Saccharomyces cerevisiae S288C: one gene and its partners. Changing the gene in region 2 together with the main gene of any one other region gives a genetic interaction. Each region holds a gene or a part of one and is shown on either strand. Other genes may lie near its edges. The genes, in order: MTC3, ARO80, TLD1 and URA3.

What was found.
Region 1: mutations in ARO80 (region 2) and MTC3 together harm fitness more than expected from each alone (negative genetic interaction), as found in Saccharomyces cerevisiae (one large-scale study listed by BioGRID).
Region 3: mutations in ARO80 (region 2) and TLD1 together harm fitness more than expected from each alone (negative genetic interaction), as found in Saccharomyces cerevisiae (one large-scale study listed by BioGRID).
Region 4: mutations in ARO80 (region 2) and URA3 impair growth when combined (synthetic growth defect), as found in Saccharomyces cerevisiae (one study listed by BioGRID).

Annotation. Positions count from the first base shown.
Region 1 is NC_001139.9:70,356-76,128, forward strand, and holds MTC3 (Mtc3p), read left to right. Parts: upstream 1-2,984; coding exon 2,985-3,356; downstream 3,357-5,773. Other genes in the region: glucose-induced degradation complex subunit VID30, read left to right, coding at 1-2,192; OST5 (dolichyl-diphosphooligosaccharide--protein glycotransferase subunit), read right to left, coding at 2,394-2,633, 2,783-2,803. UniProt on the Saccharomyces cerevisiae protein: May be involved in telomere capping.
Region 2 is NC_001136.10:1,309,330-1,317,336, reverse strand, and holds ARO80 (Aro80p), read right to left. Parts: upstream 5,298-8,007; coding exon 2,445-5,297; downstream 1-2,444. Other genes in the region: SIP1 (Sip1p), read left to right, coding at 1-2,011; HKR1 (Hkr1p), read right to left, coding at 5,662-8,007.
Region 3 is NC_001136.10:1,010,659-1,016,389, reverse strand, and holds TLD1 (triglyceride-associated lipolysis regulator TLD1), read right to left. Parts: upstream 4,139-5,731; coding exon 3,431-4,138; downstream 1-3,430. Other genes in the region: MTH1 (Mth1p), read left to right, coding at 688-1,989; PMP3 (Pmp3p), read left to right, coding at 2,747-2,914; YDR274C (uncharacterized protein), read left to right, coding at 4,430-4,801; DON1 (Don1p), read right to left, coding at 5,117-5,731.
Region 4 is NC_001137.3:113,146-118,984, reverse strand, and holds URA3 (orotidine-5'-phosphate decarboxylase), read right to left. Parts: upstream 2,819-5,839; coding exon 2,015-2,818; downstream 1-2,014. Other genes in the region: PXP1 (putative indolepyruvate decarboxylase family protein), read left to right, coding at 1-368; protein transporter TIM9, read right to left, coding at 1,511-1,774; Arf family guanine nucleotide exchange factor GEA2, read right to left, coding at 3,185-5,839.

The DNA of each region.
Region 1 (5,773 bases), on a different chromosome or scaffold from region 2:
GTGCACAGCAGCGTGCCGAAAGGGTTGCGGACCCATGGATATATCAAAGATCTAGATCAGCTATTAATATAGAAACAGAATCAAGGAATTTGTGGGATACATCTGACAAGAACAGTGGTCTACAATACTACCCCCCTGATCAGTCTCCAAGTTCTTCCTTTTCTTCTCCTAGAGTATCGTCTGGTAACGACAAAAATGACAATGAGGCAACAAATGTTTTGTCCAACAGTGGTAGCAAAAAGAAAAACTCAATGATCCCTGATATTTACAAAATACTTGGGTACTTTTTACCTTCTAGATGGCAAGCTCAACCAAATAACAGCTTGCAGCTATCTCAAGATGGTATTACTCATTTACAACCTAATCCTGATTATCACTCATACATGACTTATGAAAGATCAAGCGCTTCTTCTGCCTCTACCAGAAATAGACTGAGAACCTCTTTTGAGAACTCTGGGAAAGTGGACTTTGCAGTCACTTGGGCAAATAAGTCATTGCCAGACAATAAGTTAACTATATTCTATTACGAGATTAAAGTTCTCAGTGTAACGAGTACAGAGAGTGCTGAAAATAGTAACATTGTTATCGGATACAAGTTAGTAGAGAATGAATTAATGGAAGCGACTACAAAAAAGAGTGTTTCTCGTTCAAGCGTGGCCGGTTCTAGTAGTAGCTTAGGTGGTAGTAATAACATGAGTTCCAATAGAGTACCTTCTACTTCTTTCACTATGGAAGGTACTCAAAGGCGTGATTATATTTATGAAGGGGGCGTTTCAGCCATGTCTCTTAACGTGGATGGTTCCATAAATAAGTGTCAGAAATACGGATTTGATCTTAATGTATTTGGCTATTGCGGATTTGACGGTTTGATAACTAATTCTACAGAACAATCTAAGGAATATGCTAAGCCTTTTGGTAGGGATGACGTTATTGGTTGTGGCATAAATTTTATCGATGGCTCAATTTTTTTCACGAAGAATGGTATCCATTTAGGTAACGCATTCACCGACTTGAATGATCTAGAATTCGTCCCATATGTGGCCTTACGACCTGGGAATTCTATCAAAACAAATTTTGGGTTAAATGAGGATTTTGTATTTGACATTATTGGATATCAAGATAAATGGAAGAGTTTGGCGTATGAGCATATTTGTCGTGGACGCCAAATGGACGTTTCAATTGAAGAATTCGACTCTGATGAAAGTGAGGAAGATGAAACTGAAAATGGGCCTGAAGAAAATAAATCAACAAACGTTAATGAAGATTTGATGGATATTGATCAAGAGGATGGTGCCGCTGGTAATAAGGATACAAAGAAGCTTAACGATGAGAAGGACAACAATCTGAAGTTTCTTTTGGGAGAAGATAATAGGTTTATAGATGGAAAGCTAGTTAGACCAGACGTGAACAATATTAACAACTTAAGCGTGGATGACGGTTCATTGCCTAATACATTAAACGTGATGATAAATGATTATTTGATCCACGAAGGATTGGTGGATGTTGCAAAGGGGTTTTTGAAAGATTTGCAAAAAGATGCGGTTAATGTCAATGGGCAACATTCTGAAAGTAAAGATGTTATCAGGCACAATGAAAGACAGATCATGAAAGAAGAACGTATGGTAAAGATAAGGCAAGAATTAAGATACTTGATAAACAAAGGTCAAATTAGCAAATGCATCAATTATATCGATAACGAAATTCCAGATCTGTTAAAAAATAATCTAGAATTGGTATTTGAGTTAAAACTAGCGAATTATCTGGTGATGATTAAAAAGAGTTCATCCAAAGATGATGACGAAATTGAAAATTTAATTTTGAAGGGTCAAGAATTATCTAATGAATTTATCTACGATACTAAAATTCCACAATCTTTGAGGGATAGGTTTAGTGGACAATTGAGTAATGTCTCTGCATTGTTAGCATATTCCAATCCACTTGTGGAGGCACCAAAGGAGATATCAGGATATTTGAGTGACGAATACTTACAAGAGAGATTATTTCAAGTTAGTAACAACACAATACTAACATTTTTACATAAGGATAGCGAATGCGCATTAGAGAATGTAATATCAAACACTAGAGCTATGCTTTCTACATTACTTGAGTATAACGCGTTCGGTTCAACCAACTCTTCAGATCCAAGATATTACAAAGCTATTAACTTCGACGAAGATGTGTTGAATTTATGAGCATAAAACAAGCACCTTCAAACAACAAAGCCATGTGATATCAGTCATTATCTTCCCAAAAATCGCATATTAATATGTCTTAAACCGTTTATATAATGAAATTTACTTGACACCTTTCTTTTTAATATTCTCATCCAAAATACTTCTTAAGTATAGTATATAATTTCATCGATAATTCCTTTATAGGCCAACGAAGAGCCACTAGACGTAGACACCGAAAGAATTCGAAGCAAAAACAGTGGTCAAGCCAGCAAACAAGCTGCCAATTACACTTAAAATTGTGTAGAAGAAGAGTTTCTTAATGTATGAAGATTTAGAACCGACGGCGAACAGGGCAGATGATAATACAGCTAATGTAACGATTAAACCACAAATTGCAAATTTTGGTTGAGTGTCTAAGTGGATAAATGGCTGGAAGCTCTTTGAGGAATGGAACTCTTTCTTAAGTGATTACACAAATGCCGAGAAGGCGAATTGGCTATACTTGTTAGTAATTATGAATTAGAAAACAGGAAGGGAACTATTCATTGTCCTGTGTGTTGTTAAAAACATCAAAAGAATAGCATCAACCAGCGTTACAGGCAACGTACGTATAATTGTTCATAAGTCATTGTAAACCTTGAATATGCAGGGATATCTCTCACTGCTTATGTTTTGCCTATTTACAGTATACGTTTTATGTGTACTTGCATCCTTCTTCGAAAAGTATTTGCAATTTCAAATTTCGCGTCAAAGAAAAGAGAAGACCACCCAAAAGATATCATTTCAACATAGGTAGAAATAAGGCAGAAGATGATGGGACGAAACGGTATTCGGCTAGCACTGAAAAGATCTTTCAGCACTTATCAGCCACCGGTAGTAGAGATTACGAATATAACGAAGTTATGGCCCACTCTACGACCTGAAGTTAGGGATGAAATCAAGGAATACTTACGATGGAGGATGCAAGAAGATTGGAGACATATACCGCTGGAGGAGACCAAAGCAGCGTATTTCTTATCTTATGGACCCTGTGGTGGCAGATCCAAGGGCAACGAATGGAACGTAGGGTACACGGGAATGCGGATAGTGTTCAACCTTGTTTTATTTGGCGGTGCAGCGACTGCATTTTATAATTGGAAACAAGATAAAAAGCTAGAGGAACAATTAAGGGATCTTGTATAAATTGGAAGCAACAATAGTATATATATATATGCGCTTGCGCAGAGTACGTTCTATTCATTTTTTATCATTCATTATCTATCCCTGTAAATAAACTAATATAAAAATTCAAAAAAATAATGATTTCGCCCAGGATCGAACTGGGGACGTTCTGCGTGTTAAGCAGATGCCATAACCGACTAGACCACGAAACCACTTAATTGAAATATACAACCCCAAGATAAGATACTTGCTTCATAGTTTAGTTGTAAAATTGAAGTTCAGTACAACATGGCACTAGTATAAAAAAAAGTTTACCAGCCATTACTGCGCACTTACCTACATTAGTCACTCTTAGCGTATATTCTAAATACGCTTAGAGACGTCTCCTTACTATTTTTCATACGTATAACTCTCAAAGGACAGTATAGACATATCCCTGGGGGCTTTTAGAGTGCAGCCTCTGGAGGTCTACACACGTTAATAGTCTCAAAAAATACGCTAATATTTGTTAAATAAGCGAATAGGTCTTCATGTGCGCCTGAATCAGTAGCTGTCTACATGGTAAAGAGTAATTTGTTGACACGAAAATTGATAGTTGGTTAAAAAATATTGCAGATTCAATACTACATGAAAGACTTAATTACAAGATAGACTGATGGTGAAAAAAGAATGTACAGGTTTACCGGCAAACATTTTGAGAAATTAAAGCCCAAAAAATTTTGTGTACCTTATGATTTTCCTCCTCTGTCTAATCCAGTTCCGTATCTGGGTACTGCTGCTTCTTTGTTAAAATCGCAGCATGCTTCCCATTGTTGGGAATTGACTTTGAGCAATATTTAGTTAGTAACTACCATATAGGTGACTGTCGTGTGCCAGCTATAACAGAAATAATCCTTTCACCATGATCATTGTAAACGATCAAAGAAAACTCTGAAGGGACTATAATGCAGTCTTCATGCAGACACTTGAAATATACGACATTAGTAGCTCCCAAGGTAGTAGGCACATCCTGCGTAAATTCTCCACAACCATGTTGTATATATAGCAGCCATAGTATGACCGAGCACATGGGACGTACGAATAAAAGATTTTCTCAGATCCCTGAACTTGAGCGTCAACCATGAATTTCTCTACTTTTTTTTCGAGCAGTAATTACCATTTTAGGTTTGATTACAATCACAGCTTCAGCAGAATTTGATTTCGACGTAGGCTATGAAGAGTTTGTCCGTATCAACCCTGATAAGACCTTCTTAGAAAGTGAGATTGGCCTTTACGTTGGTTGGACCGAGGGTAGTCAACGGCAGATAACAACGATACCACATAATTCCACGTTGGCGGCATCACTACAAGAGTAGAATGGTTGTGGTGGTAATGGCACAGAAACCTCCATCGCTACGTCCACACTTACGATGAGTGGTATACCTATCGCTACGATAATGAAGCACAGAAAAAGTGTACTTATCATATTACCGCAACTATGTACGTGAGGTGTAAATTATGGCTCTCATAGGACATAAGTAGGACAGAAATTGAAATTTTTGTGTTGGCAGAGCGAAAGAAACTTGAATTCGTTTATGAGGAATAAATTCTCAGCTCCATCCATGGTTCCAGTTGACGCTATGATACGCAAATTCCTTTGTGATACAGGTATCATTTCTGCAATTCCTCGTAGATTGTTGATCATACCATAAGATTGATGCTGGGGAAAGTGGAGAAGCTAACTTAACGATTGAGGCCTTGGCAAACCCTGTTAAACCAGTACTATCGGCCTTAACATGCGACTTAGAGAGAGAGAGAGAGAGAGATGTTTGCGTTTGCGTCATGATAGAGATGCTACATCCACATAGTTGTTGTAGACATGTTTAAAGGTACAATTCTGCAACAACGCCTTGAAATTTTCCAAAACTAACCAAGCACATTGGAGTTACGCTTATATAGTAAGCCACTTCACTTGCGTTGCTGTAAAGGTTGATAACTACAGGTAGGAATTAATGAATGTTAAATAAAAAAGGGAAATACCATCATCTCGACAAGAAAGGCAAAATAACTTTTCAATCTCACCAAGACGCGCGAACGAAACTCGTGCGTCTATATTAGTATCTTGACGGCGCTTTTACATCATTAAAGGTGTAATAAAACTGAAGTCATGCGATGGCACTGAAATAATCAAAGTAACTATTTGTGATGGCATGCACTGTGATATGATCTCAAGGAAAAAAATGCAATGTCGGGCGCCAATACTTATGATCATGCTTAGTCTCGACATTGACCTTGCTTGCTACAGTAATCTGGTGTCCGAGTAGTGACATCTAGGTACCGGTGAGAACTATATCTTCATTACTACACTTGTCGCCCCTGAATATTATCGCTACACACGCGAAAGAGCTCTTGTTAAAGTTACTCTCGCATCATTGCGGTACATGTTTTGCATATTCATC
Region 2 (8,007 bases):
AACTAAAAGTGATCTGGATGATCTGTCTACTTTGAATTACACCATGGTTGACGAAACAACAGAAAATGAAAGAAACGACAAACCACACCATGAAAGGCATCGCTCAAGCATCATAGCTTTGAAAAAAAATCTTTTAGAAAGTTCAGCTACTGCTTCCCCTTCTCCAACGAGGTCTTCATCGGTGCATTCAGCATCACTTCCCGCCTTGACCAAGACGGATTCCATTGATATTCCTGTAAGACAACCCTATTCAAAGAAACCATCTATCCATGCATACCAATATCAATATCTCAATAACGACGAAACATTTTCTGAGAACTCTCAAATGGATAAAGAGGGAAACAGTGATAGTGTAGATGCAGAAGCAGGCGTACTTCAAAGTGAAGATATGGTTTTGAACCAGTCTCTTTTACAAAATGCTTTAAAAAAGGATATGCAACGTCTTTCAAGGGTGAATTCCTCTAATTCAATGTATACTGCAGAAAGGATAAGCCACGCTAATAACAATGGAAATATTGAAAATAACACCCGTAACAAGGGAAACGCGGGAGGCTCCAACGACGATTTTACCGCACCTATATCTGCTACTGCAAAAATGATGATGAAACTGTACGGTGATAAGACCTTGATGGAAAGAGATTTAAATAAGCACCATAATAAGACAAAGAAAGCCCAGAATAAAAAAATAAGGTCGGTTTCAAATTCGAGAAGATCCTCATTTGCTTCTTTGCATTCTTTACAATCAAGAAAGAGTATCTTAACAAACGGTTTGAATTTGCAGCCTTTGCATCCACTACATCCAATTATTAACGACAATGAAAGTCAATACTCTGCACCGCAGCATAGAGAAATATCGCATCACTCTAATTCCATGTCGAGTATGTCTTCAATATCATCAACAAACTCCACCGAAAATACTTTAGTTGTTCTAAAATGGAAAGACGATGGTACCGTGGCTGCAACCACGGAAGTCTTTATAGTAAGCACGGATATTGCTTCTGCTCTTAAAGAGCAAAGAGAGCTTACCTTGGATGAGAATGCAAGTTTAGACTCAGAAAAACAGTTAAATCCTAGGATCCGCATGGTTTATGATGATGTGCATAAGGAATGGTTTGTTCCAGATCTTTTTTTGCCTGCAGGAATTTATAGACTGCAATTCTCCATCAATGGTATATTGACTCACTCAAATTTTCTTCCTACAGCTACGGATTCAGAAGGCAATTTTGTCAACTGGTTTGAAGTATTGCCCGGTTATCATACGATCGAGCCATTTAGAAACGAAGCAGACATCGACTCGCAAGTAGAGCCAACACTGGATGAAGAATTGCCCAAGAGACCGGAACTTAAAAGATTTCCTTCTTCCTCTCGAAAATCTTCCTACTATTCTGCTAAGGGTGTTGAAAGGCCAAGTACACCGTTTTCAGATTATAGAGGCTTAAGTAGGTCCAGTTCAATAAATATGCGTGACTCATTTGTACGTCTGAAGGCTAGCAGTTTGGATTTGATGGCCGAGGTCAAGCCTGAGAGGTTGGTGTATTCGAACGAAATACCAAATTTATTTAATATAGGTGACGGCTCTACGATTTCTGTAAAAGGAGATTCTGATGACGTGCATCCCCAAGAACCTCCCAGCTTTACACATAGAGTTGTTGACTGTAATCAAGATGATTTATTTGCTACTTTACAGCAAGGCGGTAATATTGATGCAGAAACAGCAGAGGCGGTTTTTCTAAGTAGATACCCAGTTCCTGACTTGCCCATATACCTGAATTCATCCTATCTGAACAGAATACTAAACCAAAGCAATCAGAATTCAGAATCACATGAGAGGGATGAAGGTGCGATAAATCATATTATACCCCACGTGAATTTGAACCATTTACTGACAAGCAGTATTAGAGATGAAATAATCAGCGTAGCTTGCACTACTAGATATGAGGGGAAATTTATCACTCAAGTAGTTTATGCACCTTGTTATTATAAAACACAAAAGTCTCAGATCAGTAATTAGAATCTCAATTCGCAATGATTCTCACGAACTCTATTAATTCAATTTTTTTCTTTTTGATTCCTATGGCTCCTAGAACGTTTGCATTCCTTTTTTTTTTGTTCTAGTAGGTATTTCACGTCACGTTTCTGGCAATCCACTTCTCAGCATGCGTGGAATATACTTTAACATATCCAACGAATTTGCTGCATATTCTTATGTAATAGATAGCCGTTCCTAATGTGTAATGGCCTGCTTTGTTATAGAAATCATATATAAGTAGTGATTGAGCCGTAAAATCATCTCATATGCCCAATGGAAAACCAGTCATAGTATTATGAAGCATTCGCATTATTATATACCTCCATCTTCCCCTGTTATTCTGTCTTTGTATTTAAAATCATTTTTACGAATAGTGCGGTTGTCTTGGTTGATGACGTAATTCTTTGATATCTACTTATTTACGCGTTATTGGCCTTGAGTTATTAATATCATTATTGATGTTATTACTATTCACGAACAAGTTGTATAAATTTTCGAAATTATTATTATCACCATCTCCACATTGCATATATCGTTGCTCAATAAGTTCTGTCCATGGTTCTACAAATTCAAGCCCGATATCTTCACTAGCACCGAACCAATCTGTAACCTCGTCAGATAGAGATGGACCTTGGAAGAGTTCATTGTTCAGTAACGCTGTTGTGATATCGTTGTTTTGTTCAACAAAAGGATCAACGATACCTTTAGAAGATGTATCATTTGAATTCTGAGAATTGCTATTAATTTCCTCCGTCAAAGGCCTTTCCGAGGGTTCAAAAGTAGTCTCGGTTTTATTATATCCAATACGTTTAGAGAATATTGGCTTCTTAGTTAAGTCTTGTCCCTCCAGTGAGGATTCGCGATTGCTCTCTAGAGGAGTGGTGCCATCTCTTAATAAGGGTGGTCGTTCTAAGTAAGATTTTTTTCGAAGTTTCATCTCTGTACATAAGTACATTAATATGGCTGCGTATCTTTGACATAGATGTAATTCATCTGGTGTAGCTTCTTTCAAAGTAACCGCAGTGTCACGGATGATATCGAATGTTTCGTCAACCGATATTGCACTTAATTTTAAAATGTTTCTGGCATCTGGATTTGTTGCCAGTTCACTACCAGTAAGTGTTAGGTAGCATTTTACTATGAACGCAATGGATCTAATTATTCGTATTACCCATCTTACGGGCATGTATTTTAGCATTCCTTGCCTTGAAACTCGCTTTGCAGAACTCAATATTTCTTTTGCAGATCTGTATGCTAATTCCACATACCTCGCGCTTGTCACAATTTCATTCATATTCAATCTGCTTGTTTTCCCATCCACTTGCAGTGCGAGGGAAAAGATATAAAGTTGACAATAATTGAAATCTGTGATAATACTTTCACCATTTATTCTATCGATGTTATCAAATATTTGTTTTTTGTTCTTCCTATCTGCTAGTGAGAAAGGGACATCAGAAAGGGGTACAAGAAGCTCTCTGTAGTTACTGAGCCAGCCCTCTATCAAGGGAGAAAAAACACTTAGGACAGAGAGGTTGTGTCTCTGATCTGTCGTTGCCAATTTCCTCTTATTCTTCTCACAGTAAATCGTCTCATATGCTATGGATAGGATTCGAATGATCTCTATTTTTGCTCTTTGGGCGAATGAGAATCTTAGTGGAAATGGTGGTATGTGATTCTGTGCTAGATTAGTATCATCTTTTTTATTAGAATAATATAGAACATACTCATCGTTTAAAAACTCCCTCTCCCAATCAGTCAAAAAATTTTTCTCGTTGTCGTGGTCATTTTCTGAGTTTTCAAAAACTCTCTTCCACCTTAGTTTACTTTCTTCATCAGGCAAAATCTCATTCAGATAAAATTTTTCATTCCCAAGGTAATCCTCATTGCTTTCATTTCCATCGTTTTCAATTTTTCCTAAATTCAAGTTTAAAACGCTGAATGATTCTGCTAATAAGGATCTTTGATTCATATTCATAGCACTGGTAGTCTCAGATATATGAGTGACAATGAATACTTTTGAGCTGTTTTCAATGAATCCCATATCTTGCGCCAGCCTTACTGCAGACCCTGTCAGCATCCATGACATTCGGTCGCTTCTACGGATTGCGCCGACACCGGTCAATCCTTCTTCGTCCTTCCTCGTACTAATATTCTTACTTCCTCTAGCGTTGACATTATTTAACTCAGGATCATTTGCATAGTCAGACCATTTATAGTGGATACTCCTTGGGTTCCATTCCGTGAAAATTATGAAAGCAAGCACGGTGCCAATTGACCTAGTACTAGCCTCTGCCCAAATTGTTTGAGATATAAGCTTCTGGCAATACACCCATAATTTATCGTGAACTTCAATGTGTCTCATCCCATCTTCTCCATTGTCTAATCCTAAAGTATCGAAAGGATGATAGCGAGCAGAAACAGTCAAAATTGCACAAAACAAAATTGGATATTCTGCTAATTCTTTCGGATCATGCAATTGAAGTGGGATATTGGGAAAGAATGGGTGCATCGTGAGAAAAAATGCCTCTATGAGTTCAATCGCCTCCTCTTTAGTAAGCAAGCTATCTGGACCGATGTAATCGAAGTCGTCAATTTTCCGGGTAGGTGGAGGTCTCACTTTCCCGATTTCTTCCATTAATTGTGATGTTTTCCTATTCGTATTCAGCGTGTGGTTAAGCATATCTGCTGTATTTTCGTAAAGTGTGTTAGTACTGTCACTTTTTGAAAGTCGTTTCAACCCCTCGTCCGTAGCAGATTTATTTGTCGCATCCAAAGAACTTTTCAGTGGTTTCGGTGTTGTGGACTTCTCTTTTATGATTTCTTTTGCGCCTTCTTTTGCTACAGTTCCAGCAGCTTGGGCCAGAAACTCTAGGGCGTTCTGCATGGAGGAAAGTTCAAGCTTCCACTTCATCCCTTCTGATTTAAATGATTTTTCACTGCTAATCCCTTTTCTTGACAAAGGTACATCCGATAAAATTGGGCTCGTTGAGTCATTTTGTATCTCTTGCTTACTCTTACCTAGAGATGGCAGACTTATTGCATTAATCGAATTAGGAGGCAAGTCGTTCGAAGTTCCCTTATTAGAGCTAAAAATACATTTTTTTAGCTCCCTTTTGCAACGTGCACACGGTGGGTCGTGTGGGTTATCAACCGGACCAAGATCACATTTCACCTTCCTTGATCTGCAGCTGATGCAAGCTTGGTAGGTTCTTCTCCGTTTTGGAAGTTCAAATGCTGCGTTTCCCGAAGGCCTTTTCTTAGCAGACATAGAGGATAAAGCAGTGCTTAATGTAACCTTATTATGCGTGGATCATATATTCCCACGACTAACTTGATATTATTGCTTTAATTTATTCTCGCTCTTTTTTCATTGGTTAGTTACTATCTTCATTTATCTCGGTTATCATCGGATAGAATAGTGTACTCTCGTTGATTCCGAAAATATTAAAAAAAAGCCTTCATGTATTACTAAGAAGGACTCATAAAATTACAAATGCAATACTTGATGATATATATAATAATAGTAATGGCGTGAGCCTATGTGTATTAATGGGTATCAATTTTTGTGATCATCTTTTGTTGCAAGCGCCCCTTCCAGCAGCGTTTATTGCACAGTCAATAATCATTTTTCGCTATATTTTTGTCGTTTGATGGTTCTGTTGTTTTATAACTTTCGACATTCTCTTATAAAGTTCTTCGTCTAAAGCATCCAGCTCCTCGATATGTACATCTGAAACACTACCATTGTCGTCAATATCCTCTATTTCTAAATCTTCAAGATTAGAGAAAAGAGTCTGATTTGGCTTTGGTAGTGAAGATTCTGTGTAGCGTAATGTGTGAAGTTTAATCGAATTTGTATGAAGGGGTGTGGTATAAGCGGTACTTGGCAAACATGTCTGACTCCCTGTAGAAAACTCATTCGTAATTTGATTTCCAGTATCGGGATCATCTGTAGTACATGATTCAGTGCCTAGTCCATGAAGTTTAGTTTCGCACAAATGGTTCTTGTTATAGTTTTCAATAACTTCGTCTGGCAAGTGAAAACTGTTTGACTCTTCATTGTCAGAATAACTGTCGTATAATCGAATATCACCATTTTCATCAACATCTAGAATGCCTGATATGGACTCCTCATCATTCAAGAAGGCTTCCGTAGCATCTTGGTTTTTGTCATACACGCAGTCTCTTACTATACTGTCTATTCCCGAACCATCATCCCCATTGGTTTGATCAAAATCGAGGGGGATTGCGTCCCTGTACAATAGATCACCGTCATCATTAATGGTATAATGTAATCTGTGAATAGTATTATAGACTGTGTTTTCGCCAGTCACAATATAATGATCATCTACCGCAGAGTAAACACTTTCATTTTCAGATTCTGGCGGCTTTTCATTATAAACTTGGTTTCCAGAAGAAGAGCGGGAAAGCTCGGTACTTTCAAGTTCCCTCTCATTATTGAGGCTTTTCCCTATGCAGTTCCTTGGGTGTCTTTTCAATAATATATTTCTATGACGGAAAGCAAAAAATGCAACGAATAACCACAAGAGTACGCCAATAGTTAAAACAATCAAAAAGATGATTATTTTTACAGCATACTTTCCTGCAGATGCAGAATCTGTGAATGAATTGATAAAGTCATCCAAAGCTCCATACTTGTAAGTTCCATCTATGTTTTGGGAATTTCCTTTTGAAGAATCCAAGACGCTTGATGAGGTTAAACTAGGGACATAACCACCATCTCCAGAGCCATATAACGTCAATCCCCCTAATGGGATCCCACTATCTATTAGACCAGCTAAACTTCGCAGTGGGGTTTGAGGATTGCTATAAAGAGTCGAATTTTCATCAAGGATTAATTGCTGAAGATATGTTACGGCTTCTGTTGGAAAATATACCTCTGCAACTGATACAATGTATGCCTTAGAAGAGTCTACCATGGGAACAATCTTTTTCACCGCTATTGAGGATGTGTCGACTTGTGGAGGATGTAAGTCCTCGGTTGACTTCGTGGCATTTTTTTTCTGCTGGTTTTTTTTTTTCTTGACAACTGATAATGATGATATGGATTTTGGGGAAAGGGTAGTTGTGCTGCTCCCAGACCGGTATGAAAGAATAAAAGTGGATAATTCCCCAATACTATTGTCCAGTTCTGATGAGGTGTTTGAAAAGGGATACTTCAAAACGAGAGGTAAAAAGTTGAAGATTTGAGCCGAAGATAATGGATTTTGAACCAAAAATACATAATTCAAAGCGGCCGTGAATCCGATGGTAATTAAAGTGTGGTTAATGGGTTCCGATACAGCGACGGCCGGTTCAATTGCATTGGGAAGTGAACCAGTGATTGACGGATTGAATGATGCGGTAGTGGGGCCCGTTTCGGATGATTCCACTATAATAGCGGTAGGTAACCATGCGTAACTATTTGGAGAGGGGTACGGAGTAGTAGGATAGGTAGACAAGGCAGGGGCTGTGAATACTGAATTAGTGCTTGCCTGAGTTTGAACTGCAGTCGTAGCAGGTCCAATTGAGATTTTTGTAAAAGACCGAGAATATGACCCACTGGTTTCAGAAGAACTTTTGTATTGCGTCTTTGTTGTGGTTAAGCCGGTTTCCTCGCCATTTTCGCCCATGGTTTTCGATACTTTCCTGGATAAACTTTTCGAATCAACCTTTGTATTTGTGGAGAGCGATGGGTTAGATGAAATATGTGAACTTTGTAAAGAACCTACAGAATTCCTCCCTTCGGATTTTTCAGACTGACTATTTGCTCGTAATGTTGATGTAAAGCTTGTGATTCTTTCTTGTGTGTTTGAAACAGATTTACTTGCAGGTATTGTTTCTTTTGAAAGTTTTATTGAAGATATTGATGAGGATGAGTAGCCAAATGAGGTTGCACTTTTTGACGAATCGACAAAGTTATGTGATAGTCCAGTCACAGAATTATGAGAACTTGGAATAGATAAAGAATATGCGTG
Region 3 (5,731 bases), 300 kb from region 2:
AGGCCATCTCACGCCGAGACTTACTTGGACTTTTCTCTATTGTAAAGCGGAAAAAAAGTTATCACCCCGCCCCCTCCTCCGCTCCTCCACTAAAACGATCAGCAAATGGCAGAATAACGCGGTACTAACCAGTTTTTCCGTTCCTTGAAACCCAGTCATACTATGAAGTCCCTAAAATTATTCCGAAATTATTCCCTAGAACAAGCGGGAAAAAGGTCCGGGGAAATGGAGTCCGTGCGAGTTTTGTTAGGATGACTGCCCCACACATTTCCTCATCTTATAATTTTGTGGAAAAATTCATCGTGAGAGAAAATACGAGTCCATTTCTCCAGTGAAACTACCGTAGACATGGAATATCTGCCATTCTACCCCTTATTCAAGTGCCTTTTTTTTTTTTTTTCATCCCACATTTTATTGCTGCCTCAATCTCCATTAAGAAAAAAAATTTATATAACCAAATGACATTTTTCCTTTCTTCTCAAACTTTGTAATGCGCCTGTAACTGCTTCTTTTTTTATTAAAAAACAGCATGGAGTTTTTTAATAACTTAAGGAAACATACAAAAAGATTTGTTCATTTCACTCCAAGTATTTTTTAACGTATATTGAAAGTTCTCAATAGCGAAACCACAAGCAGCAATACAAAGAGAATTTTATTCGAACGCATAGAGTACACACACTCAAAGGAATGTTTGTTTCACCACCACCAGCAACTTCGAAAAACCAAGTTTTACAACGACGTCCATTAGAATCGACTAACAGTAATCATGGGTTTGCAAGCTCCCTACAGGCCATTCCGGAAAACACGATGAGTGGCAGTGATAATGCTTCTTTTCAAAGTTTGCCACTATCAATGAGTAGCTCTCAATCCACGACTTCTTCGAGAAGAGAGAACTTTGTGAATGCTCCTCCGGAGTACACTGATAGAGCTAGAGATGAGATTAAAAAAAGATTATTGGCCTCCTCACCTAGCAGAAGGTCACATCATTCAAGCAGTATGCATTCAGCGAGCAGGAGATCAAGCGTGGCTGAAAGTGGGAGTTTACTTTCGGATAATGCCTCGTCTTATCAATCAAGTATATTTTCTGCCCCCTCTACTGTGCACACGCAACTAACTAATGACTCTTCGTTCTCCGAATTTCCTAACCACAAGTTAATCACGAGAGTGAGCCTGGATGAAGCATTACCCAAAACGTTTTATGACATGTATTCGCCAGATATTCTATTAGCAGACCCATCCAACATTCTCTGTAACGGGCGTCCCAAGTTTACCAAGAGAGAGTTATTGGATTGGGATTTAAACGATATAAGATCGTTATTGATAGTCGAGAAGTTAAGGCCCGAATGGGGTAATCAACTACCGGAAGTAATAACGGTGGGTGATAATATGCCCCAGTTTAGGTTACAATTATTACCACTATATTCTAGCGATGAGACCATAATCGCAACGTTAGTCCATTCGGATCTGTACATGGAGGCTAACTTAGATTATGAATTCAAACTAACCAGCGCCAAATATACAGTAGCGACCGCTAGAAAAAGACATGAGCATATAACTGGTAGAAATGAAGCCGTCATGAATTTGTCGAAACCGGAATGGAGAAATATCATCGAAAATTACCTCTTAAATATAGCAGTAGAGGCACAATGCAGGTTTGATTTCAAACAAAGATGCTCCGAATATAAGAAATGGAAGTTACAACAGTCCAACTTAAAAAGACCGGACATGCCCCCACCAAGCATAATACCGCGGAAAAACAGCACAGAAACAAAATCGCTTCTGAAAAAGGCTTTATTGAAGAACATTCAGTTGAAAAACCCCAATAATAACCTTGATGAATTGATGATGAGATCAAGCGCCGCAACAAATCAACAGGGAAAAAACAAAGTCAGCTTATCTAAAGAAGAAAAGGCTACGATATGGTCGCAATGTCAGGCACAAGTTTACCAAAGATTAGGATTGGATTGGCAGCCGGATTCAGTATCCTGAAGATACTAAAAAGAAACCTTCCCGATGGTTTTTTTGGAGACTCTTCGATTGTATCAATACTATCCCATGGACATCAGTTTTAATAGAGGAGCTCCAAATTCCCAAGGAATTGAGGAAGAAGCGCCAATGATTTATATATACAAACTAGCTGTTGCAGCTTTATAGAGATTTAGTAATAAGAATTTTATGGGAACGTGGTACCGTTATCGCAGTAAAGAGTCAAGGGTAGCGAAGATCAAACCATACGATGACGAAATACCTTTAGTTCTTAGCATCACCAATCGCAGACATCCAACGTATCCGTGCGCGTAATCCTTCTCTTGGTAGTTGAGCACAGCATACAGAAGAAGCCGCGCGCAAGCGGTAAATGTCTTTCCTCCGGCCTTCTAACCACCAAAACCGATCTCGGAACATGGGGGGGGGAAGGTCCTCTGAATCGAAAAACCCGAGACAGCGAGAGGGATTTTGCAGAAAATTACAAAGATCACTATTTACTGCTCCCCTCACTTCCGCAGTCCCCTAATAGCGGAAGATGCAATGGGTGTGGGCTCTGGGTGCCCTTTAACCACGCCCTCAAAAGGGGGTCCTGGTTATTTTGCGATGGGCGCCTCTATAAATACAAAAGAGGAAGTGAGTGTTTTTGTTTTGGAAGAGGGAAAGGAAAAAAAGAAGAAAATTTACTATCGGTTGTTGTTTTTCGCCAGTATAATACAATTGATTATACATTTTGAACTAAACAGCACAGCACAATACAACAATGGATTCTGCCAAGATCATTAACATTATATTATCCCTTTTCTTACCACCAGTCGCCGTTTTTCTAGCCCGTGGGTGGGGTACTGACTGTATAGTGGATATCATTTTGACCATTTTGGCTTGGTTCCCAGGTATGCTATATGCCTTGTACATTGTCCTACAAGATTAAGCTCATTCAATAAACGAAAGTAACTATCAAATGAAATAAGGAAGCAGTATTAGGAAACGGTATCAACATGTTCGGGTCACCCTCATTTTTATTTGTTTCCTTTCTTTTTTTTTGTTTCTCTTTCTCTTAAGGTTTCCTCCCCCGCTGTTAATTTTAACTACGTGTGTATTTTTTAATAATTAATTTTATCACAAAAAAAACTTCTCATCTTTTTTGCCTTTTATCATTTTTGTACTTTTTTCTTCGCTTAAAATACACATGATATAGACGCTTAACTATCTGTCCTGCAAGTTTGTTTATCTATATAAATATAGCCAGTATCATCCGTTTACCTGTGTTGTAGAGTTCCAAAAGATAGAACAGCCTTTTATCAGATGGGTGGCAGACCCTTACCCATATTATCTCTCTTATTTTGTTTTTATTTCTCTCTAGCCTTATAATTATTTTTAGTTTCCTTTCTGTAGCAATAAGTGTTCTTAGCAGTGGCGTTGCGTTGCCTTGACCTTGATTATCAATTTAAGCAGCTTTCTGCTCACAAGCCACTTCAAAACGACTCGTGAATGATTTTTCGATCAATGATATCTTATCATAATTCGGATTTGATAGGAAATCATCATCCTCTTCCTCGTAGTAGGCGTCTTCCCTCCTTTCATTAACAAGTTTATTCTGCTTCACAAATGTAACTGTACTAGTTGAATTCAAACGCCTACTTTTGTTAACACTACCTGAACTAATATCATATTCCAGACCAGCTGTAGTATGATTGATCAATGATTCTGAGGATTCATTTAGCATATTAATTATCTCCTCATCAATAACTATTTCCTCCTTTCCGCTTATGGGACCACTGGTCTTTTCTTTTCCATCTGCCACCGGTAATGATGATCTATTGTAGTGGAATAACTTGCAACCGTAATCAAGCAACCTGCACATGTAGAGGAATAGATCGATCGCGTCCAGTATGATAATAGGCAACAGCAATACGATGACACCCAAAGAGCACATCAACTGGAAAATGCCAAACATTAACATCAGTCCTGATCTTATTTCGGATAATATCCCGCAGTGCCACGTCAAAGATAGTACCTTATCAAAGGCGTGGTTGATAATAACAAGTGCTAATCGGCTATTTGACATGATCTCTTCCTTTCCTGATGAGTTCTTGGTATCGTGATCGATCACAGTTGAACCTATAAGTTTTCTAAGCTTCGGGAAAAAAAACATTGTAACTAAAGGCAATAATGGATGCAGATGCCTGGCAAGGAAGGAAGAAAAAAAGACAATAGAATGCCGTTGGTATATATTCTCCGGCTGCCCCGTCAAAGGACTTCTAAAAACTAATATCAAGAAAATCAAAAAAAAAAATCAAAAAAAAAAATAAAGGAAAAAAAAAGATCTCTATCTTTATGTCGGTAGATATGACACTCCCTTCACGTTTATCATCTCTTGAACCTTTTCTAGTTCATCTACACCGTTCCTATTATCTTTCTTTTGCCCCCTTCTCTTCCCTCGTACATGTTTTCTTGCCTTTTACATTCCTCACGCCCTACTGACAGCTATTGCACTTTGGCGGCACCACTCAGCCAGACTGCCCGTACCCGTACGATGACCTTCCATGCAGCCACGGCGAAACGCAAGACCGAGCATTCGGGAATCAAGGAATCTAACTTGCATTTGTCCCGGGTCCTACTAAGCTCTTTCTGCCGTGCAAAAGGACGTTTCGTTTCGTTTTTCATATGCTATCCATTTCCTTTTGGGCTAACTAGGTTTCCGCGGGTTTTGTGGTCAATAGGACTCGACAAATCATTATTTACGCGCGTGCATTTTTCGCCATCATTCTTTTCCCTTCTTGCACCACTACAATTTTCCGGGATTGTACGATCGTAGGAAACTACTTACCGTCAGCGTTGCTCAAAAAGGCCCACATTATTTTCTTCCGTTAGTCCTGTTTTTATATTGTCCTGAAGTTTCCCGGCGCTAACTTCCTGGCTTTCCATTGAGTTTGAATTGTTGAGTAAAAACTAGTGTGCCATTGCTAGATGAACGTCATTTCCGCCCACACATCGACTGATGAATGACTCCATTTTGAGAACTAGATATACAACAAAGGCAAATAAGCGCAGAAGAAGCAATGGTGGTGTCTGTTCATTGCGAGCCCAAACGCACTTTGCCGAAAGAGTTAATAAACATTACCGCTATACACTACGTAAAACTTAATTCTTGTCTAGATGGATGAACCTGCTTTTTTTCATCTTTAGCGTCAGCTGCAAATAGACCACAACTATCAGTGCCAAAGGCAGATTTGTATCCACCGTCGTCCTTGGCAGGTAACCTATCTGCACTGTCACGCTGAGCCTCCGGCACTTCAGTATTACCGCCCTGGTTCTTCCTTTCTTGATTCGACGTATTGGTTTCGACATCTTGCTCTTCTTCTTCCTCGCTTTCGTCGCAGTTTAAAACGTCAAATAAATTGTTTGAAGGCTCATTTCTCTTCACAGTGACGGGAATGCGATTATTCTTCAATGACTTCGCAACAACTTTCACAGCGGCGCCTTTTAAGCTGTTAACTCCCTTTTCTTCTCCCTTCTCCTTTTCCTCCTCTTTTCCCTTCTCTTTTCCCTTGAGTATACTATCTTCGTTTGATAAAATTGTATTATGGCCCTCTGCAACAGCCACGTTCCTAGTCGATTCGGCGACTTCTCTATTCGATCCGGGGGTGCTAATGTTGCCAATGTGTTCGGCCAAAGAACTTAGTTCTGATTCAATTTTTGAAATTACCATGGAGCCATTTATTCCTTGACCAGAAAATTCGTCTTC
Region 4 (5,839 bases), on a different chromosome or scaffold from region 2:
ATGTGGTGCTGATTCAGGGTGATTCCGCATTTGGATTCTCTGCCATGGAAATTGAAACGGCAGTAAGGTGTCAGCTGGCATTGGTCATCGTTGTGATGAACAATAGCGGTATTTACCATGGAGAAAAGGATATAGAGGGTGATTTACCTCCAACGGCACTAAGCAAGAACTGCCGTTACGATCTCGTAGGCAAAGGACTGGGTGCCAATGATTTTTTTGTCAACACAATAAGCGAACTGAGCAGATGCTTCCAACAAGCCGTGCAGCTTTCTCGGACTAAAAGAGAAACAAGTGTCATCAACGTTATCATTGAGCCTGGCGAACAAAAGCAAATTGCCTTTGCCTGGCAGAATAAACCGCGTTTATAGTAAATATGCATGTATATATATATATATATATATATATATGTTCATCTCTCTTATAGATGTCAATCTAAATACTTACAACACACATTAATGAATACCTCGTATACGTTTAAGGGCAAATGTACTCTCGCAGAAGGAAATATTGCAAGTAACTTGGATAACTAAAGCCGAGTTAAAGATCTGCCAATTGAACATAACATGGTAGTTACATATACTAGTAATATGGTTCGGCACACATTAAAAGTATAAAAACTATCTGAATTACGAATTACATATATTGGTCATAAAAATCAATCAATCATCGTGTGTTTTATATGTCTCTTATCTAAGTATAAGAATATCCATAGTTAATATTCACTTACGCTACCTTTTAACCTGTAATCATTGTCAACAGGATATGTTAACGACCCACATTGATAAACGCTAGTATTTCTTTTTCCTCTTCTTATTGGCCGGCTGTCTCTATACTCCCCTATAGTCTGTTTCTTTTCGTTTCGATTGTTTTACGTTTGAGGCCTCGTGGCGCACATGGTACGCTGTGGTGCTCGCGGCTGGGAACGAAACTCTGGGAGCTGCGATTGGCAGTGGAACAGTGGTAATTCCTACGATTAAGAAACCTGTTTACAGAAGGATCCCCACCTATGGGCGGGTTATCAGATATTATCAGGTGGGAAATTCGGTGGAACACAGTGGAGCCTTGTCCTCCGGGTTAATGTCGCTTTTGGCATTGGCCCCTGCTCCTGAGAGAAGAAATATACTGGGGAACCAGTCTTTACCGACCGTTGTTATCAGAAATTCACGGAGTTCGGCCTAGGTCGGACTCCGATGGGAACGGCAACGGTTGTTCCGTTTGACTTGTCGCCCGCTACGGCGTGAGCGTCAAGGTCTGTTGAGTGCAATCGTAGGACGTCATTAGTGGCGAACCCGATACCGATTACTGCTGCTGTTCCAGCCCATATCCAACTTCCAATTTAATCTTTCTTTTTTAATTTTCACTTATTTGCGATACAGAAAGAAAAAAGCGATAGTAACTATTGAATTTTGTTTGGATTTGGTTAGATTAGATATGGTTTCTCTTTATATTTACATGCTAAAAATGGGCTACACCAGAGATACATAATTAGATATATATACGCCAGTACACCTTATCGGCCCAAGCCTTGTCCCAAGGCAGCGTTTTGTTCTTGGAAACGCTGCCCTACACGTTCGCTATGCTTCAAGAACTTTTCTGAGCACTTCATGATGCATGTTTGTTCCTTATTGGTTAGCTTTGATGTTGTGAAGTCATTGACACAGTCTGTGAAACATCTTTCTACCAGATTAGAGTACAAACGCATGAAATCCTTCATTTGCTTTTGTTCCACTACTTTTTGGAACTCTTGTTGTTCTTTGGAGTTCAATGCGTCCATCTTTACAGTCCTGTCTTATTGTTCTTGATTTGTGCCCCGTAAAATACTGTTACTTGGTTCTGGCGAGGTATTGGATAGTTCCTTTTTATAAAGGCCATGAAGCTTTTTCTTTCCAATTTTTTTTTTTTCGTCATTATAGAAATCATTACGACCGAGATTCCCGGGTAATAACTGATATAATTAAATTGAAGCTCTAATTTGTGAGTTTAGTATACATGCATTTACTTATAATACAGTTTTTTAGTTTTGCTGGCCGCATCTTCTCAAATATGCTTCCCAGCCTGCTTTTCTGTAACGTTCACCCTCTACCTTAGCATCCCTTCCCTTTGCAAATAGTCCTCTTCCAACAATAATAATGTCAGATCCTGTAGAGACCACATCATCCACGGTTCTATACTGTTGACCCAATGCGTCTCCCTTGTCATCTAAACCCACACCGGGTGTCATAATCAACCAATCGTAACCTTCATCTCTTCCACCCATGTCTCTTTGAGCAATAAAGCCGATAACAAAATCTTTGTCGCTCTTCGCAATGTCAACAGTACCCTTAGTATATTCTCCAGTAGCTAGGGAGCCCTTGCATGACAATTCTGCTAACATCAAAAGGCCTCTAGGTTCCTTTGTTACTTCTTCCGCCGCCTGCTTCAAACCGCTAACAATACCTGGGCCCACCACACCGTGTGCATTCGTAATGTCTGCCCATTCTGCTATTCTGTATACACCCGCAGAGTACTGCAATTTGACTGTATTACCAATGTCAGCAAATTTTCTGTCTTCGAAGAGTAAAAAATTGTACTTGGCGGATAATGCCTTTAGCGGCTTAACTGTGCCCTCCATGGAAAAATCAGTCAAGATATCCACATGTGTTTTTAGTAAACAAATTTTGGGACCTAATGCTTCAACTAACTCCAGTAATTCCTTGGTGGTACGAACATCCAATGAAGCACACAAGTTTGTTTGCTTTTCGTGCATGATATTAAATAGCTTGGCAGCAACAGGACTAGGATGAGTAGCAGCACGTTCCTTATATGTAGCTTTCGACATGATTTATCTTCGTTTCCTGCAGGTTTTTGTTCTGTGCAGTTGGGTTAAGAATACTGGGCAATTTCATGTTTCTTCAACACCACATATGCGTATATATACCAATCTAAGTCTGTGCTCCTTCCTTCGTTCTTCCTTCTGCTCGGAGATTACCGAATCAAAAAAATTTCAAAGAAACCGGAATCAAAAAAAAGAACAAAAAAAAAAAAGATGAATTGAAAAGCTTTATGGACCCTGAAACCACAGCCACATTAACCTTCTTTGATGGTCAAAACTTATCCTTCACCATAAATATGCCTCGCAAAAAAGGTAATTAACATATATAGAATTACATTATTTATGAAATATCATCACTATCTCTTAGCATCTTTAATCCTTTTCTACATCAGATAACTTCGGTTTGTTATCATCGTCTGTATTGTCATCAATTGGCGCAGTAGCCTCAATTTCAACGTCGTTTGACTCTGGTGTTTGTTCATGTGCAGATCCATGAGATGATGAACCGTTGCCCTTCTCAATACTCTTCTTATCAAGTATTAATTGCTGTAGCTTTTTTTCAATATCTGAGTCCTCTACAAATTTATTGAAAATACTCAAAATTTTCAAAAACGTTTCGTTGCTTGTCTTCCCTAGTTTCAAATAATGCAAATAAACATTTGAAATTATTGTTAATATGGATGAAATGAGGATTTTCTGGTCTTCCTGTGTTTCACTCGAATTTAGCAACGGTAGTAATCCGCCCTCAATTAATTCTTCTACCGATTCCATCTCATTAGTTGGAATTTCGATTTTATTGATGAGCGTCTGCTCTAGCGTTACCACTGCAAATTCACTTATCTGCTTACACGGATTGATGCATTGATGTGCCAAAGCTTGAATAATAGCGAATATCTCGTTTTTACGCAGATCGTTATTATCTTCCAGCAAGTGTGATGTTAGTTGAATGGATTTCAATGATAATTCGATCGATTTCTTGTATGGATTCTCCTTATCAATTTTATGACCACTTTCTGTCAATTTCTTGTATTCTATTTCCCAGTGATTTCCAACGGCACCCATTGATGAAATTTCATCTAATAGTCCTAGGACCCACATGAAGTTCTCATTTGTCAAAATATTGCTGTCTGTCTTGATCGATTCATTTAAATATTCAAAAATGCTCTCGCTCTGCTCTTTCATTGCTGTAACTTTTCTTAAAAATTTCCAAAAATTCTCATTTCCTAGTAAAAATCCTCTATAAAACTCTGATTCGGTCAATGAAAATAGTCTCTTCAAAAATTCCTTACCTTGATTAGTTGCAAAAAATTTTTGGGTAAAAATATCCCCCTTTTTTAACAGCTCATCGTTTATTAATTTGGACAAGTACTCCGTCTGATCCGCACATAACGAAATTAACAAAATTTTGTATGTTAGCATTCTACGAACAGTCCTTTTCGTGAGGCCTTTCGTGTGAGAAAGTTGGAAAACTTTTTGAAGTATGAACTTTCCTAATTCTTTCTCCTCTTTGCAAAATAGAAATAATGCAATAGTCAATTCGATGATAAATAAAAGTTCTGCTTCAAAATACCTGGAATTATCTGCGTTTTTCTCAGTTTTGGCGGAGTCTAGTAAAGTTTTTATTAAATCCGCTGTTATATTTGATTCATTTCCAAAGACAGAGGCGGCAATATTACTCGACTTTATGCACTCCATCGCTTTTTTTGAGGATTTGATTTCCTCTTCTGTGGGTTCTTCATCACCTTTTAAATAAGAAGCAAATGTTGATAAGAGACCTTTGCTTTCTTTGCTCTTGTTAATAGAAATTTCAGGAGATGGCTTAGGCAAGTTGCTTAATTTCAGTCTTTTTTGTAAATCAGGGAAAATATCAGGAGACAAAATCAAGTCTTCGTACAATGTTAGTATAATATTAACAATGTTTAACCATAATTCCTTGGAGAAAATTTTAGGATCTTTGTTCCTGCGAATAATCCGGAAAAAAACAACTGTATTTAGTTGACCCTTAAATGATCTACCAAATCTAACAGCATCTGTACTAACCGGGATCTCAGTGTTAGTGTCTTCGAATTTAATTTGCACCAGTGGCATTGGGCCATATTCAAAAGCTAAAGTTGAAAGTTCATCGTCATGGCTTGAATTAATCAAAGTAGTGCCCTTAGCAATGGAGTTTAGTATATCATTAAAGAGATCTTTGAAGTCAAAAAATGCGGAAATATAGGAACATTTGTCCAAACTTGTTATCATTCTGGTAGATATATGGTCATCAGATGCAACTACGTAAATGTTGAATAAAGTACTGACAATACTTGGGCCAACTTGTTTAAAAATTGCTCTATCAAAGTTCAAAAGCTCCAAGGGTGTTAATTTATCCATGACAGATTGTGTGTCTTTTTTTATTTCAGTTATAACAGTAGTTGAAGATATCAAGTTATTCCAAGCATCTTCAAACCACTTTTCGTTGCCGTGGTGCTCTTCAGGCATAACAATTTCTTTATCTCTGATTGAACAGTAAATTCTATCCAAATACCAGAATGGGAAGTCTTTGTGATTACAGCATCCCTTTAAGTTACCAGAGTAATCTTCAAATGACATGTGTTCCTTCACTTGAGGGTTATGTAGGTCAGTGTTCAACATAATAATTGAATAACTTAAAATGAAAACAGAATCAGCGTCTGGTTGAACAGTAGAAATGTCATCCTCCGCGTTGTCACTGATTTTGGATGGATCGTAATCTTGATTTTCACAATACGCAGACGAGAAGGCTTCGATGATTCTTTCAATTTGTTGCGATTCACCAGGCAACCTAAATTTCGTCAACAAAATTCTAATAGCTTCATCGACCCTTAACCCTGAAAAATCAAACAAACGAATATATTCATTCAACAAGCTTACTTTGTCCGGATGGCAAAGTAGCAAACCGATTGTTTTTTTATTCATACGGTTGTTATTATTGAAAAGAAACTCCGCAATATCTTTATCGGAGTCGGAAGCAATGAAACCTTTTTCTATTAACATCGGAATACCCTT